4 linked regions of the Caenorhabditis elegans genome follow. The protein of the gene in region 1 interacts with the protein of each later gene in a pairwise test. Each region holds a gene or a part of one and is shown in the gene's direction. Other genes may lie near its edges.

Region 1 (3,840 bases):
AACAGTACCACCTCGAGTATCATCTATGTCCCGCCCATTATTTGAGTGTCCTCAAATTTGCATAGCATTGTTGTAAAACCATGTCACAAGTGGGATACTTTACAAAGTATATGTTAAAAATTGACAGCGAACACTAATGTTCTGAACAACATAGAATTAAATAAAAATCTAGCAAGTTCAATATCACGATAATCCAATATATCCCTGTTTGTAAAAACTAATGTTAGCTGAACTTTCATCTTATTGAAGACAGTGTACAAGTGGTGGATATCCATTGTCTTTTTTCATTTTCAACGGGAATTTTCATTGAGATTTCCACAAAATGATGGCTAATTGATAAGGGCAAAACGAGAAATCGTAGGAAGAAAAGTGATAAGAAGCGACGCCTTCGAGGCTTATTCTATCTTTTTCGTCTTCTCATTTTTGTGGAAAGAATCAACAATGAAGCTTCTTCTGTTAGCTGTTTGTGTCATCGGTTAGTTTTTCGATTGTTTCGTTGATTTATCCCTAAATTTAGCTCTAAATGGTAAAGGAAATATTTATCTAATTGGGTTAAAATATGTTCAAATTTGTTTTAAAAAATATTAAGAAAAATACATAACTAATTTATTTGACATATCCAAAACTTCTTAGTCATAACAATTTTACCCAATATGAATTCTGCTTGTACGTCAATAAATTGAAACGTTCTATAAATAACCAAATTTCGATTCTCATATTTTCTTCGTCTTGCACGAAATCGCAAAAAAAACCAGTCCAGAAAAATTGCTTCTATATAATTTTCAGTTGATCAATATATTTGACTTCAAAATTCAATTAATTTCAACATTTCAGGATTCGTTGCATGTTATGAAGTTGTACCGAGAGCAAGTGCTTTAAGACCGAGAGGAGATGTTCGAAGGTTTAACATTTATTCCATTTTTTCTTTAATCTATTCTTCAGATCACCCCTCCCATCATTATCGGCATATGCTCCTTTTGCTAAATCTCTTCGTCCAGCTTCTACAGGAATCCGACGTGCTCCAGCAGTTGTTACACTTCCAGCTCAAAAAGCTAATCGTTCAGTGAAAAGAGCTCCAGCTAAACCACTTCCAATGACACTTCCACTTCTTCCACCACTTCTTCCACTTCCACAATTCATTCCAGTACCTGTACCAGTCCTGTCTGCAGAAGGCCTTCCAACTCTTCCAACTCTTGCTCCACATACTTTCCCAACTTTCACTCCAATTCCTGGAATGCCAACAATGCCTGCATTGACAATGCCACCAAGTTTCCAACGTCTTCTTGGAATCACAACTACAACTATGAAACCAGCTGAAAAAGCTATGGAAACTGTTCAAACTGAAGAATCTGATAATGACACAACGTCCGAAGCTAGAGCTCATAGGTGAATTACTCAAATCAGGAGAAAATAATCTAATATTAATTAATTTCAGCGCCCCAACATACAGCAAAGATCTGAATACAATTCGTTCAAGACTTTCAAAGTTTGTAAGAGGAAGTGAAAAGAAAGTGACAAAAGCAGAAGACAACGCTGATTGGATTGTTCCATTCCATTGATCTCATCAAAATATAATAATTTTAATTAATAATAAATAATTTAATTAATTTAATAAATATACCCGCGTGACATCGTTTGAATTCGTTTTACACAGAAAAAAATCAGAAAATAAAAAGTGAAAAGAGAAACTGAATCAGTTTCAAATATTTCCTTGTCGACAGTTGCTTTCATCTTCGCATCAATCTATTCGGGGTAAGTTAATATTCAGACTGCAAAAAATCAAGCCACCTAGGGGACTCGAACCCCTGACCTTAAGATTAAAAGTCTCACGCTCTACCAACTGAGCTAAGGAGGCCAGCGAGTGCGCTGGGTCCAAAGGCATAGACGCTCGACTAGTTACAGGAGACGCGAGAGTGGGTTGCTGTGAGATAGACACGTACTATTTACAGATGGCAACCAACAACAATAGTTTTCATGTAAAAGGAAAAGAAGAAGTACAATTCGAACGGAAAAATGTGGTTGTAGCATGTGATGTGGTCAATGGAAAGGTAAATAAAGAATCCAACACAGGGCTCGCGTCGAGAGCCGAATAAAACTTCAAAAGCCCTGATGTGTAGAACAGTAGAACACTCTTTAATAAATAAGAAGTCCGGTTGCAATTTCCTTCGAGGCTGTAAAAAGACTCATTTTCAATTCAAAAATCGAAGAGATCTTGAATAATCACATTGCAGATTACATATGTGGATGTGAGTAGCCAACTGATGGGTGTTCTATTTGCTGGTGATGAGATTCTGAATGTCAATGGAGAAACTGTAAGGAATATTTTAAGATTTTCCGTTTCAACTAATCAAACATTTCCAGAACATCAAGACAACTGCTGACTTTATCCGTGCAATTAGTGCAAAACTTCCCGGAAAAGTGACAATTGAATTCATGCGAGACGATCATTGCCTTGTCACTGAAAAACCAATGCCACCACGTCGTCCAAATACTCAAATGGTTGAGTTGACTTTCACTTATCGTGGAGGTGCTGCAACAGGGATTATCATTCATAGAGTTAGTAATCAGGGACAATTTATACTTTCATGGATGATTTACAGATGGCAGTTGATCCAAAAACTGTGACTATTTCAATGGTTCAATCGGCTTCCAATGCGTGTCACTATGTCAAGGATGGAGATATTCTTGTTAAAGTTAATGACATTTATGTTCTTGATCGTGACTCTGCTAGAAAGGTATTGTAGTATTTTTCTTATTTTATTTTAGTAATTAACTTACTTTCAGCTTCTCTACGCGAGTGTCAACAACACAAAAACGGTCCGTCTTACATTGGAAAGATCCACAACTACTGATCCACTTGGTCCTGCTCCACCGCCTCCCGATGGTGCACAGAGCACACCTGCTGGAGTGAAGAAATCTGGAAATTCAGTGATGCTTCCTCCTCCAAAACCACCCCAAGGAAAAGCCAACAAGCAGTTTGATGTGGTCAGTTTGAACCCATTTCCTCTTATCATTTCATTTACCAAAACATGTTTTTATTTTCTTCTTTGCAGCTTCTTCCTCCTGATGTTTTGGAGATTATGAAGGCAAACAAAGATTTCTACAAGAAACCGTGCAAGAATCCTCCATGCATCATCAAAACAACCGCCGCATCAGCCCCTGCTCCAGTTCCAGCCACCTTGCCATCGGATCCTGCCCCAGAAGTTCGCATCCCGTACATTCCGTCTCCGAAGCCCCTGAAAATGACTCCAAAACGTGTGGGATCTTAACTTGAGAAAAGTGTTCGAAATAAAGTTTTCAAAAAGTGTTTGTTTGGTTGTTTACCGTTCTATCCATCCCTAACCTATGCCTAGAGACACAAATATTTACGGTCCTTCAACCTGTGATTTGAAAAAGGCAGGCCTAATTCTATTTATTGTTGAATGCCAGATTGGTTTCTCCTCGAAACCCTCATGAATCTAAAACCTACAGCTTTTACACATTATTTGAAACATTTCTAGTCTCACATCATCGTCCGTTTTTTCTTGCTCCTAGTTGTCTCACAGAGTTGCAAATGTTCATCTAGCAAACGTCTGCGTCTCTATGTCCTACTCACTATTTCCACTAGTTTTTCTTCCTGTCTCTCACTGTGCACGGACAGAGAGACGTACGAGACGGCCGGTGCTGCTTGGTACCGACTCTGTGCGTCTGGTTGTCCGTGTCCGTGTCCGCCCGCCGCTCTCACTCGCCAAAATATGACTGAGAATTGGAAAAAGGCAATGGATGAGAGTGTGTATCTGTCATTTCTGGATGCATACTGGCTCTCATTTTCACTTGATTCGGAGGGATATAGGCCATTTT
Region 2 (3,008 bases), on another chromosome or scaffold:
GTGAACTGCTTTATCAAATGGGTCATCTTTACCTTTCCAGCCTCCTGGATGTGGTGACAGTGTAACTGCCACGACTACATGGCAAACATTAACAAACACAATTGGAGATGGACTTCCAACACTTCGTGATAACCATACAATGTGTAATTATTGGGTGAAAGCACCAGATAATCAAGCGGTAGAGATTAGAATATCAGGATTAACAACTGTTACAATTGATGGATGCATTTTTGGAGGAGTCGAAATAAAGACTCACAAGGACCAGAAGTTGACAGGTTACAGGTTAGTTATCAATTAAATTATAGATTTTTTGAACAAAATTTGTTGAAAATTAATGATATCATATAGGCTTTCAATTAATTGCCCAGTATTGGTCGGTGAGGCCTTGGGAACACTTCATTCTCAGAAACAGATTTCGAAAATTATTTTTGCTACAATGAAATAACTACCATTTCCTCAACTTTAACATATGTATATGTACGAGTATTTTTTCCAGGTACTGCTCTTCTGCAGACCAAAACACTGTGCATCGTTCAACTGGCTCACTAGTTCCAATAATTTTATTCAATCGATATGCTAGTACAAAAGCTGTTCTTGAGTATCGTGCTGTAACTCCATCTGTTGATGTCTCAGCAACATACACAACATTTGCACCGATTGTTAACAGTTGCCAGGATTTACATCCGAAGTAAGTTTAAATTCCAAATATTTTCAAAAGTTCTCTCATTTTCAGCTGCGACTTTTACAAGTTTTTCGGCATGTGTCGAAGTAAAAAAATTAGGAGTAATTGTAAATTCACATGTCACGATTGTAATAATAATAATGCATCGCCTTTTGGCTCTAACTTTTTCAATAATAATTACAATAGTTTCAATAACTGGTACACGAATAAAAACAAAAATTACTACCCCTACTCAAATTCAAATAACAATAAGCCATGGATGTGGTTTTTCTAATTTTTATTCGTTTTTTTTTCTAATTTACAGTTGTGCCGCGTATGCATGGAATGGTTTTTGTGTTAATCCGTTCTACTCAATGCAAGCTCGTCATTACTATTGTGCATATACTTGTGGATTGTGCTGGATGAATAATAATAATAATTTTTACTAATTTTGAACCTGTTATCAATTTGAAAAGAAACGGGTATGCACTACCTTTCATTGTATGTAAACTAAAATGAAGTGTTTTTCCATAATTTTTTCTAATATCTTCAACATATGCTCACAAAAATTCGTAAAATTTGTTTAAATTCGGGTTTTTTCTCAACCCCTTTAAAAGTTAGTGTTTTATTACATTAGAAAACAATTTCCATGCTTCTTCACATGTTAAAAAGATTTTTCAAATTTCTCAAATTTGAACATGTCGGACTACATAATTTCTTACTGAGATCTTGATAGATGGTTATGCTATAACCAAAGGACTAATAAAGCATACCACGTTTATAAAATGAATAAAAATGTGCACTTGGCTTCTTACGGAAACGCTATCTCGTCTCAAATTCAAATACGCTGAATTATTCATTGAACCAAGATGCCAAGACCAGACGTCGCTTCCGTTCTCTCACGTATTTTTATTCTCAACTTGTGCTCTCATAGCAACCTCTCCATTCATTGATCCTCTTTTATTTCTTTTCTCGATTTGAGTAGAAGAATGACTGCAAAAACTGAAGATAATCTGAAAGAATATACAAGAAGTCAAGTGGAACAACATTGCACTCACGATGATCTGTGGCTTTTGTTCAGAGACAAGGTACTTTTTGCGGTTTTAAAAATACAAAATATTGAAGTTTAAAGTATTCCATTGGATATTTCATAAATCCCATGGTTTGCAAATTATCGTTTAATTGAACTTTTATTGTTGATTTTGAAATGAATGAAATTATAGAAAAATTAGAACATTTCTGAACATCTGAATTTTGGTATTATTTAATGATGAATGTCTTCTTCAGGTTTATAATATGACTCCATATTTCAACCAACACCCTGGAGGATTAGCAATTCTTCGATATGCAGGAAAGGTAAGCCTTGTTTTTAGTTACTACATATAAGCTGGTTATCAAAATTTTAATATTGATTTATGCAAAAACCAACGGCAATTTTTTAGATAAAAATTTTTTTTAAAAAATTTTGCATTATTTGTTTCAAGTTCATTCTAATTTTTTAATGCAGATCACACAAAACAGTAAAACTTGGACATTGTGTAAATGTTATTTCAACGTTGTTTCCCAACAATTATTTTTCCAGGACGTAACAACAGTTCTACCATTTGTTGTATCTCATGGCATTGCTTGGAAAATCGTGGAACAAAAACTTCAAGAGCATTTGATTGGCAAATTGAAGGAATAATTTACTACATATATTAAACAATTGAACGTTCAGTTTCAAAATCATAAAGTTATATGACTATTTTGTTGAAGATGCACATGATCACACGCAATAGCTCTTGACTTGCAATAAATCACTGACGAGAGGGTGATGTGTAAAGAAAAAAGTGTTATCTCACTTAGAGTGCAATAAAAGAAACGAGTGAAATATGTTCCACAAACCTATAAGAACACCGATATTTGGTTTTTTACTACTAAATCCCTTATGGTCATTTAAAATTCCTACTTTATTTTGCCAATAGCTTATGTAGGTAACAGGATCCCGGTCATTAAAATTTTTGAAATGTTTGAATGTCTATTCATAGTAATATTTTATTAGTCTACCTTTTTGTTTCTAATTCTTCAAATAATGTTTTTGCATTTTTCTTTGGACAACGTCGCAGACTAAACATTTTAACATTTAACTTATTCTAGCAGACAATAGCAGACAACCTACAAAAAAATGTTGAGTAAAAGCAACAGTTTACAGAGATTTATTTAGATCCAACTCTGCCAGATCAAAAAAATTTGATTTTGTTGTTGCTAGTTTTTCAAATCAATGTGTTTATTGAAATGTTTCAACTTTCTTATTATTGTCTTTTGAAACATGATACAACAATGCGAAAAGTTAGAAAGAAACTCACAA
Region 3 (7,627 bases), on another chromosome or scaffold:
AACAAAATCAGTAATCTTAAAGGCGCGCCTTAATTTGTTAGGTTAGTTCGCAATGCGTGGCGAGACCATTCTAAAATAAATGCACCTCCTTGAAAATCGTGGAAGTGGAAAAAAGTTATATTTTCTAATTTTTGTTAGATTTCCCACGTGGATTTTAATTTCAAAATGTTTCCACTGTATCTACTGATGCAACTGCAATAGTCTCTGTCCGCCTGTACAAACATAAGCTCTTTGCAATATTCTTCAATGCTTCTCCCTCCGAAATCCCTGTGATATTTTCCGTTGTCTTCCCCTCTAAACACCCGTTCTCATCCGATGAATATTTGGCGCAAAACGGAAAAGAAAATCGACGTGTCCATCTACATGTACTGTGTTCTGTATATGTGTCTGCGTCTCTCTGAGTATAGCTCTGCTTTGCTTACTTTCCCATGCGGTCCGTATTGTCTTAACAGTTCACTTTATTTGCTTATCATTGATTAGTGGACCAGCTTGGTATTAGAAATTAGTTTTCTGAATTATTCAGATATATTTGAATTTCACCACTTTTATTTTATCCACCTACATTTCACATTCGAATAATAAAATAATAACAAATCTCATTCTTTCTTGCCACTTTTTATTCCCTCTCCTCGTTGGAACAATGGGAACAACGAGACAAGCAACCGAATATATAATTCCTTCCTTTTACAGTCTGTGTCGATGTAGTTTTTCCTGGTCTATAGTTAAACTTTCACACACGTGGAATAGGGTGTTGTGATTTCAGTTGGTACACAGGAAATGTATTTCTTTTTTTTTTTTTTTTTTGGCTTTTGAAGATTTGTTTAAATTCTAAATTTTTTGAAATAGAAGTGGTTTTGACCCTATAGTATCAGTAATCTTCTCTATATTTTTGCGAATAAAAAACGCCAAAGATCTGGATCAATGAACTCTTCGACCTTTGTTCTAATGCACAATGAACAGTCAGGCGAAGAAATTGCGAAAGAAAGTGTCAAACAAGGGCCGTGTCCATGTTTGCCTTCCGTTCATTTCCACGTCAAGACAAACTCAACTTTTTGAGTGTTTTCCCCAATTTTTTATATTGATTTATTTTTACTGTTTTCTTTTAAGAAAAGTTAACTGACAATCAAAGCTGAGACAAGAAAAATTCGAGAAACAAAAAAAGTCAAATTTGGATTTATTTCGATACTTGAACATTTTTGAGTTTGCGCTCTAACTGTAATTATTCTAGCAAATTAACCTTTGAAAAATATATCAAAAATAAATACTTGTTAGAAAAAAGTCATTTAAAAAACATATTTCTCAAAAAAATATTTTGGAAAATATGTAAAATGTTTGAAGTACACTAAGGATTTTTTTTTTGCATTTTTTGGCGCTAAAATACCAATTTTTTTGTAAAAAATTTATAAAATTGTTCTATTGTTTCACAATTCAATCCAGATACACATTGCATAAAGAAAGTATGAGTGTGTGACAAGTCTTCACCACCTTTTTCTTCTTCTTTTCCATCTAATCCCCCACTTGATTCACCCCATCTCCTTCTCGAATTACTGCTTCGATTTCTTGCCTCTGCATTCTGCATTCTCTCCAAGCAATACCTCTATTTCCATATTTCTTTCAATTTTCAGATGACAACACCGCCAGATGGCACGTCATCATCTTCGTCTGCAAAATTCATGTCGGCGGTTAATGGTTTGGTGCCGTCTACCATTTTTGATCGAAGTAAGTTTTTTTTTCTATAAATCATACAAAATGGACAGTAATGACCGAATATGACTGATAAAAAAATTATTTTATGATTTTTTCAATTTTACAAAAATAAAACTGGTGAATATGACAAATTTTAAAGCATTTTCCAGCAGAGGAAATTATTAAAAAATGTTAATTGAAAACGTTTAAAAATTAAAAAAAAATTCCTGAATTTTTAAAAATAGATTTTTCAATTTTCAGAAAAAAAAAACGTTTAAGTTGTCAGTAATGTCAGGGATTTTCAACAAAAAATTAATAAACATTGAATTTTCGATTTTTTCGTTCAATTTTCCAAAAATGGGAGGTTGTCATCAGTTTTTCAAACCAAAAATTAAAGAAAAACAAATTTAGAAAAATAATTTAAATTTTTTAACAGGCTTATTCGGCAATTACGGTCTATTTTTTTTTAATTTGAAGCAAACCTAAAAAAATTAAAAAATAGTTGGAAAATTTTGGAAAACGAGAAACTATGAAAAATCAAAATGAAAAATCTTTTTAAAAATAAATAGGCAAAAATTTTGTTATTTTAACAATCACAAAGAAAAAATCAACAAAGTATTGAAAAGCTAAATAAATTTTTTTCGTTTTTCTCTTTCCCGGCAGAAAAATTGATTTTTCTGTCGGACTACAAAAACATCACAATTCTCACACACTCAAACAGAAAACAAAAATAATCCGAAAATTTTTCCGATTTTCTACTTTTTTTTTGTTGTTTTCAAAAGTCACATTTCATCATCATAATGGTTTCAGTTAACTCGGACATGGATGTTTCGGAAGAAATGGAAGAGATTCGAGAAGTTCTATATGAGATGATCAAAACTAATTTTCCAATGGGTGTTGCAGCAACTCATCTTTCGGAAAAATATCATGAGGAGTAGGTTTTTTTTGTAGATATTTTTCAAAATGTTTTTTTCAAAGAAAAATCGAAAAAAAAAATCAAATTTTTAATAATTCCGGATCGTTTCACCACTAAAAAATACATGTTATTTTTTAATCATTAAAATATCAAAATCTATGTATTTTTGATAAATTTTCGATTTGTCGATATTTTTCTAGAAAAAGCGAAAAATTTTCGATGGCGCTCTTGATAGTAATTACTGTTTTTTTTAGAAAATTCAAAAGTTTTTTGGTTTTCAGATTTGTTTCAAAAGGACTTGGACGTGAACTTCCCGAAGATTGGATTCAGCAAGTCACTGCTGCAGAAGAGTTTGAAGCTCAGGTATATTCTAAGCTATCAAAAGTATTATATCACCTAAATTACGGTACCCGGTCTCGACGCGATTGAAAACTTAAAAGAGTGTGCGCCATTCACGAGTACGACACGAGTACGACACAAACAAAAACAAAAAAAACGACTTCAATGGTCATAACTACAGTACTCTTCACATATTGTAGCGCAAATAATTTCAAATCGTCCCGAGACCCATTATCGTAATTTTTCATGAAAACCGCTACTTTTCGAGAAATAAAGACTAAAAAATTATTCCAAAAAAAGCAATTTCCAGACACGCGGCCCCATCACCATACTGTTCGTCCGTCTCTCAAACACATCATCGTTCAAAAGACCACCCATAAATTCAGTAAATGTACGAGGTGAATGAATACATTCTGAATACATTTAAATAGACACTCAAAAAGTGAAAAGAAATAACAATTATGTGAACATGCTGTCGGAAAACGGGGACACACATACAGAATAACTGTCCTTTTCTTGTCCTTTCTATGTCTCTTTGTCCCTCGACCTAAATTATTAGTTTGAAGTGTTACTAGTAAAATTACTAATTTATTTTTATTCGAAAAATATTTAAAAATCAAATAATTAGTTTTTGCTTTTTCTTCTTCTTAGTTTCTGCTTCAGAATCCGGTGGCCTGTATGAAATTTTCAGATTGAATCCGCCCATCTAAAATATTTAGAATTAACTGAATAAATTCAAAAAGAAAATACCCTCCTAATCCGCATTGTCAAATAACCACCCATAATTATTGAGAAAAGTGTGAGCAACAGGATGGATCCCAAGAAAATCCATTCGATTATTTCATTGGGTAAACTGCAAAAAAAACGGAAAATGAGGGGTTTACTTAAAATTACTCAAAATAATCATGAAATACGAAAAAATGATGAAAATCGACAAGAAATGAAAAATCTGTCTGATAGGTTAAAAAGTGTGTATAATTTTTCATTCTTTTTTGATTTTTTAAATGATATTTCTTAATTTAAGACTATTTTAGATTCGTCGAAACAAAATTCTTACCTCATCAATAGCTTTTTGAAACACAAATTGTTAAAAAAAAAGGAAAACGTCCCTTGACAAACCACTGTTGTAAAAAATTACTACAATATGAAGTTCACGTTTTTCAAAAAAAATATACTAGAAATTAATTCTGATTATTTCAAAAGTGATGAAGTAAATAATTGCTAAATCAAAGGAACCTGTTCAAACAGTATTACAAACGATTAAATTAAAAATTCCCGCCAATTCTTCTATTTATTTACTCGGTCATAAGTATTCCCAACCTAATATATACTCACATTTCAACGACTTAATTAACATCACCTCTTTACTGTCCAATCCCCTTTATTCTTTGCTTAGCCTATCCCTTCATTGCATGAAATTGATCCCATCATCCAAAGCCTCCTGCTGCTGATGCTTCATCTAATCCCTACTTTCAGCTTGCCCAATTCGCATTAACACCACGCCCCCTCTGTCTTCTCTAACCTTAATTCGAATATGGAGGAATTGAATTCCGATTTCAGTGAGTTCTAATCGTTGTGTAATTATATACTCACTCGTAATTTGTTTTTTGTTCTGCACCAAATGTTTTCTAAAAATATTTTGTATTCTTTTTGAAACATTTAAACATTCAATACTTATTCAGTCATTTCCACGGATCGAGAACCAACTGCGGATGAGTTGAAAAAAATTAAACAAAGAAAAGAGAATGAGCCAACGGAGCATGCAAAAACGGTATGTTTTTTAAATTCAATTTTTTAAGATCAATTTTATTTAATATTCAGCTTTCTCAACAATCTGTCGCTCTAAAAGAAGGATCAACTGTGTCAATCGTCTATGCAGATTCGCCAAAGAGATTCTTTATTCGAGCTCTCGCGGATGACGATCAGTATGAAAAAATTGGAACTACGCTCGCTGAGATTTATGCTCAAGAAACTCCGCCATCGGCACTCGATAGTCGAGTTGCAATTTATGTAAGTTCATGTGCTCAACTGGCTTCCGACGAAAAAAGAAAAAAATTGAAGTTGTTGAAACAATTAAAAAACGTAAATATTTTTTGATAAACATACAAAGATGAATAAAAGAATTCAAAAACTAATATTTCGGATAACGAATTAAAAACTATAAAAAACCCGAAACTTGTAAAATATACTTTGTAGATCTACAAAAAACGTTTGGAGTTCCAAAGTGGTTTTTTGTTGCCTTTTTGGTTCGAAAAATCCAAAAAATGCCCAGCCCTGGTACTTTTACATAAATGAGACAACTGTATTCATTAATTACAGGAAATTGTGGCTGGTGGAGCTTATGCCCTTCAAGATTCGAATGGAACATGGTTTCGTGTAATTGCCAAGCAGCCACCACAATCCGGACAAGTCATGTGCCATTTTGTGGATGTTGGCGTCTGTGAGAAATTCCCTGTGGCGGCGATAAGACTCTTACCACCTGCTGTGCATCCAGTAATGTCAAGTGAGTTTTTTTAAATTTTTATTAAAATCTAAAAATAATCACAAAAATAGGTAGAAAGTTAATTTATAGAGTAAAATTAAAAAGCAATATTCGAGTCTATGAGAACTTCTTTGAATATTCGCTGAAACTGATCATCCCATCTCCATTTTTATCGAGTTCGCTGAAAATGTATATTTTTGAAATATCATTATCGATGATGAGAGCCCTTTTGTAATCGACATGGAAACGAGATGTATGGTCAATTGACAACGCTCCGCCCCCAATCCACGTATTTCGTTAGGTATTTGACGGCAAAACGTTTTCAATTAATTTCGCCGATTTTTAAGCAGTTATTTGTTTTTATTATTGTTTTTTTATAACTTCAAAATCAATAAAGCTAACGGAAAACATAACAAAACAGGCGTATAATGCTTGAAAATTATACCTAACGAGACCTATGGGTCGTGGGCGGAGCACTTTTATTTGGCAGTGTAGCGCGCTTCCACTTCAATTTCTATCATTTCAATTTCTAATAAAGACGCCTTTTTGTGCGTCTTAATAATACCTGAGAACTAGATCAGCTTGTACTTCAATCATCTCTACATCCATTTTAGTTTTCTCATCCGAGTGTTCCGTTATCATTTTGAAGAGTTCAACACCATCCAAATGATTATCCTGATTGGTGTCACCAACTTTAAAATAATAAAACTTTCGATCTTTCGATGATGTGTGCTTTTCGATTTCAATCTTGTTCCCGTAATGATCTTTTAGATGTCTAAAACAGTTAGGTTAATTCAAAAAAGGAAGTATCTCAAACTCACTCAATACTCAAATCATCATCCGAAGCGAAACTGTGTACTTTCCTATCGAACCCGTTAACGGTCTAGAAATGTCGGATTATAAAAAAATTATAATTGAAAAAAATATTTAAAAACTCACCAAAACCACTAGAGCTAACAGAAAAAGAGCGCTGAACATCTTCAAAAAGTGATACTAATTTTGATTTTTGTTTCTTTTTTGCTAACGTGTATTAACCAAGAAAAAAAATATAAAAAAGTATGAGAAATCAATTTATAAATTTCACGTTTAATTTAAAATTTCAATGAATTTTCAGTCGGATCAATGGCTCGAGAAGTTCGTATGGATGTCAGTGAAGAAGAATCATTGAGGTTGAATAATAAATTTGTTGATTTAACATTCGAGACAAAAGATGATGGAATTCAGGTTCCGATAAATCTAACAGTGAGTAATATTTATTTACAAGTATAATATCTCACGAATATTTTTTCAGCTTTCAAAGTTTGACTCCTCAGACTCCGAATCTTTACCAGTTGTAGATCTTCAAAGTTCTGATGGCTTATCAATTACCGAATTTCTTAAAAAACCATCTGGAGTTGTTCGATTGAGTACTCCAACAAAAACAACTTCACCTATTACTCCGGCTTCTGCTTCAACATCCAGTTTGACATGTCTTTTTGACAAACCTGCGACGGTAAATATCTTCTATTGATGTTTAGAAATTTTAGAATAACATTTTCAGATCCAACCAATGACCGTTGCTCAAATGCCGATGTCAGCGTTCCCAGCAAATGCAATTTTCGCTGCAGGACCCACGGACATCTCATTACGGCAACTTTCATTAGACCCGATGCCCGATTATATGTATGCAAAGTTGAAAGACGAATGTGCTCTGCCTGATTCTCAACTGGAAAGTTCTCCTGATTTTGGAGGGTGAGACTTTTTTTTTTGATTTGAAAAAATTTAAGCTAAATATTTGAAAATTTAGATTCTACGCGGCTTTTATCGATGATCGTTGGGAACGTGTTCAGTGTATTCGTGCGAGTAAAATTGGTAGGTATATTTATTTATTATTTTATTTACTGTACCAGGAAATTTTTGAAAAAAAAATTTTCGAAAATTACTGTACCAGTTCTCGACACAACAAATTTTCATTAAATACAAGAGGCTGTGCGCTTTTAAAAAGTACTGTAAATCAAAAGATCTCGTTACTTTGGAATTTTTATAGTTTTTCGTAAAAATGTTTGAAATTACAGTACTCTTTAAGACGCACACATCTTTTCATTCAACATAAATTTGTCGCGTCGAGACCGAATACCGTAACTTTGAAAAAAATTGCAAAAATAGTTTTGTAATATTGAACTGTGATTTTGGAAAAATTTAAATATCCTGTTCAAAATTGCACT
Region 4 (3,198 bases), on another chromosome or scaffold:
TGTAATTCAAAAAATAAGAAGTATACTAACATTAGAGGAAGGGTAAATTTTATGAAAATCCGAAACAGTTTTGATAAGACGAAAAAATTGTTTGTTCAATGTTCAATGTTGCCGAAGAACACTAGGGAGGTAGAGAATTAGAGATGAGCAATAGAATTGGGAATGAGAATCGGTTTTTTGTGTCCTCCATGCGTGCAAAGAGAAATTCAATTTGATAATTCTTCATTTCCAGGCACAATCATAGGAATTTTAGAAAACCACAATCATAGGAATTTTAGAAAACCACAATCATAGGAATTTTAGAAAATTTTTGAAACTGTCTGATTTGGACATTTTTGGCAATTGGAAACGAGAGTGTCGGTTTTACGATTTTTCAAAGCTAAAACTCGAAAAATGACACCGTTGATCGGCAACTCTGTTAACTTCTGAAATTTACCCTTGTAGTAACTTGGTGATTTTCGGAAATTTTTTGACCATTACATAAATGTTTTTTTTCTGAAAAAAAGTTTATAAAGCCTATGAGTGATTTTTTTTAAAGAAATGGTTAGTGTTTTCCGGAAACAATAATTGTTAGCAACCCTCTTCATTTAGATTTTTTAGAATCCATTATTGAACCTTAAAGTGCGAGATACCAGTGAATCCAAATTAGATGTAATTCATCGTATCAAAAAATTTGATTATTTTTCACAATACGTCTAACATATGACGGGTCTCTCACACTCTGCGTGTCCAGCGAGGTCACAAAATGCGTATTCGACACGCTTTTTGTGTCGGCCGCGTACACGGAGACACTCGTCTCGTGGGAAGAAAACAGTGTTGGAAAATTGGTTAGACAGTTTAATCGCACGGTTTTTATTAATAGTACCATCTTAAAACTGACAGTAATTTTTGGTCTGGGCTGATGTGTAAATCGTTAGCAAAAGTACAAAAACTTGCATTTCAGAATCAATCTCAAAATGCAATTTTTGCTGAAAATTTATAAAAACCTCATAAGAGAAAGGAAATTACCGTTTGCATTGAAAATGCCGTATATTTTTTTCGGCTAATAACGCAACTATTATATTTGATTATTTTATAATAAACTTTTTAACGATAAAAATAATTTTTAAATTCAACTCACATTTTCCTACATTTCAATATAAATTTTTCAATAAGTTGTTGAAAATCAGCTACTAATGTATCCTCAAATTTTTTGAAGAAATTTTTTTTAATACAAATTTAATACAATTTGTTTTCTTTGTGAAATTTTCATACTCTGATGTTTCTTTATTTTGAAAAAGTTTAGCCCTAATAGTGAAAAATCTTCAAAGAAAAAGAACCCAAAAGATTTAGATTTTAACAATTTCCTGTCAATATTTTGTTAGATTGCAATTGTGTGACCACTTTGAGTTTTCACCACTTTTGACTGCACAAAAAAATTTCAAATTTGTTTTGGAAAGATTTCCCTATCATAAATTCTTATTTTGAGTTCATATGAACTATTTCAAACATTTTTCCCATACTTCACCAATTGAACTTGTTTTTTTTTCGTCCCTACGTTGTAAAGAACCATTAGAGAACGTGGAGAGCGCAGACAACAAACAAGCAAAAAGTAGGCGGCGCCTCAGAGTCAGATATAAATAGAGTATCGGGATTTTCAACTGAATCTACAGCAGTTTTTCGCTCATTCACGTCTACCCGTACCAACAATGTCCACCGAGCCACAATTTGAAAATCCATTCATTGATCGTCAATTGGATGGATCAAAAATCCACGAAATTTCCGGGCACAGGTTCAAGGCCACGGCTCTTGTTCAGCCAACCTGCTGTGCAATTTGCTCCAAGTTGATCTACGGACTCGGAAAACAAGGCTACAGGTGTTTGGGTAAGTTTTTTGAATTTAATACAATTCCTTAAATTTTGGAAAATTTATTAAGCCCTGAAAAATTAATTCGAGTCTGACCCAGCTGTGAATTTAGACCTTAAATTCCCTTGTGGCGTTTTGAACTCGGGCAAGAGTAGAACAAGACTTAAGACTTACGTTAAGCTTCTCACCGGGGCCTGTATGTATCTGTGTCGGATGCTAAAAACTGGGCATATGTACATACTAAAGTCATTTTTAATTTTCAGGCTGTGAAACTGTTGTTCACAAACGCTGCCATTCCTTAATAAACGATCGTTGCAACTTCGGCCCATCATCTCCCCGCCAGCCACCTCCACAAGAGCTTTCCAGTGATTCTGGAGAGCTTCGGCACAGGATCCCATCGCCCACTGAGCCCCAAGTCTCCACCAATCATCACTTCAACAAGCATTTCTACACCCGACCAACGTTCTGTGATCACTGTGGAAGCCTGCTCTACGGGCTCTCCAAGCAAGGCGTTCAATGCTCGGATTGTTTGGCAAATGTGCACCATCGTTGTAAGGAGAAGGCGGTTCACAATTGTATTGTTTCAAGCCAATAATTCAAATAAGTTTTTATGATATCTAAAAATACCTTCTAGGCAGCATAAAAATGCCGAAATATGTTCCTATAAGGCACATAGGTAGGCGTTTTTTGCCTGCCTAGAAAACACATTTCACGCTGATTCTTACCACCCTGATCTCTTTTTCTTTCATTATTTTTCTTCTTCTCCATAACAAAAAAAAATGAATTTTCAATATTTTTATAAGACTAGAAAGTTTACCCGTGAGATAAATACTTGTATAAACACATTAAAAGTATTCAAACATTTCCGGATGCGAGAACTCGATTGAAAATACGTCAAACACTTTTGCAATGTGAGCTTTTTCTTTCAGCTCCCGAATGTGGGCTTCCAGCAATCGAACAATTTTCATCATTTTCGTCAAGCGGTCCGAATAGTGAGGGGTTCGCATTCTGTTCATGTAGTAGTTATGGAGATTGTCTGCTTGAACTTGAAGTATTTTTTCAATGATTTCCAGGTCCTGGCCTTCAACTTTTCTTAGCATAGGCTTTAAGCACAGTTGAATAAACATGTAGTTGAGCTCAACATTTGTTGGTACCAATAGAATCAGAGCATCTATAATAGCCGTCCAACTACTGATCCCGGCAAGGAGAAATCTGAATTTAAAAATTTACAATTAGCTCAACCAAAATTACTCACGGCTTCAACTGATCCATTGAGTGGTGTGTGCAGAAGGAAATATCAACGTCGAAATCATTAATATTCATACACTTCCCCTCGCCGACCATTAATACATC

The links.
Region 2: the proteins of mpz-3 (region 1) and F58B4.2 interact in a two-hybrid assay, tested with the Caenorhabditis elegans proteins (one large-scale study listed by BioGRID).
Region 3: the proteins of mpz-3 (region 1) and tag-250 interact in a two-hybrid assay, tested with the Caenorhabditis elegans proteins (one large-scale study listed by BioGRID).
Region 4: the proteins of mpz-3 (region 1) and F48G7.10 interact in a two-hybrid assay, tested with the Caenorhabditis elegans proteins (one large-scale study listed by BioGRID).

Annotation. Positions count from the first base shown.
Region 1 is NC_003280.10:6,563,263-6,567,102, reverse strand, and holds mpz-3 (PDZ domain-containing protein), read left to right. Parts: upstream 1-1,706; 5' UTR 1,707-1,752; intron 1,753-1,782; exon of another isoform or gene 1,783-1,855; intron 1,856-1,949; coding exon 1,950-2,048; intron 2,049-2,231; coding exon 2,232-2,312; intron 2,313-2,361; coding exon 2,362-2,556; intron 2,557-2,600; coding exon 2,601-2,735; intron 2,736-2,784; coding exon 2,785-2,985; intron 2,986-3,053; coding exon 3,054-3,269; 3' UTR 3,270-3,309; downstream 3,310-3,840. Other genes in the region: F18C5.5 (Vegetative cell wall protein gp1-like), read left to right, coding at 442-475, 835-901, 943-1,386, 1,436-1,559.
Region 2 is NC_003283.11:10,917,044-10,920,051, reverse strand, and holds F58B4.2 (Cytochrome b5 heme-binding domain-containing protein), read left to right. Parts: upstream 1-1,578; 5' UTR 1,579-1,650; coding exon 1,651-1,749; intron 1,750-1,948; coding exon 1,949-2,017; intron 2,018-2,243; coding exon 2,244-2,345; 3' UTR 2,346-2,460; downstream 2,461-3,008. Other genes in the region: Zinc metalloproteinase nas-31, read left to right, coding at 41-282, 497-688, 734-956.
Region 3 is NC_003281.10:7,918,914-7,926,540, reverse strand, and holds the start of tag-250 (Putative protein tag-250), read left to right. Parts: upstream 1-1,619; 5' UTR 1,620-1,625; coding exon 1,626-1,719; intron 1,720-2,496; coding exon 2,497-2,620; intron 2,621-2,883; coding exon 2,884-2,965; intron 2,966-3,251; coding exon 3,252-3,339; intron 3,340-3,521; exon of another isoform or gene 3,522-3,557; coding exon of another isoform or gene 3,558-3,647; intron 3,648-3,691; coding exon of another isoform or gene 3,692-3,794; intron 3,795-3,998; coding exon of another isoform or gene 3,999-4,003; exon of another isoform or gene 4,004-4,034; intron 4,035-4,417; coding exon of another isoform or gene 4,418-4,488; exon of another isoform or gene 4,489-4,500; intron 4,501-4,623; coding exon 4,624-4,712; intron 4,713-4,762; coding exon 4,763-4,951; intron 4,952-5,260; coding exon 5,261-5,444; intron 5,445-5,450; exon of another isoform or gene 5,451-5,540; coding exon of another isoform or gene 5,541-5,604; intron 5,605-5,988; coding exon of another isoform or gene 5,989-6,198; intron 6,199-6,244; coding exon of another isoform or gene 6,245-6,306; intron 6,307-6,362; coding exon of another isoform or gene 6,363-6,401; exon of another isoform or gene 6,402-6,418; intron 6,419-6,537; coding exon 6,538-6,665; intron 6,666-6,714; coding exon 6,715-6,915; and 7 more. Other genes in the region: C29E4.17 (Spiroplasma plectrovirus-related protein), read right to left, coding at 3,558-3,647, 3,692-3,794, 3,999-4,003; C29E4.14 (EF-hand domain-containing protein), read right to left, coding at 5,541-5,604, 5,989-6,198, 6,245-6,306, 6,363-6,401.
Region 4 is NC_003283.11:633,384-636,581, reverse strand, and holds F48G7.10 (Phorbol-ester/DAG-type domain-containing protein), read left to right. Parts: upstream 1-1,626; 5' UTR 1,627-1,688; coding exon 1,689-1,863; intron 1,864-2,108; coding exon 2,109-2,440; 3' UTR 2,441-2,681; downstream 2,682-3,198.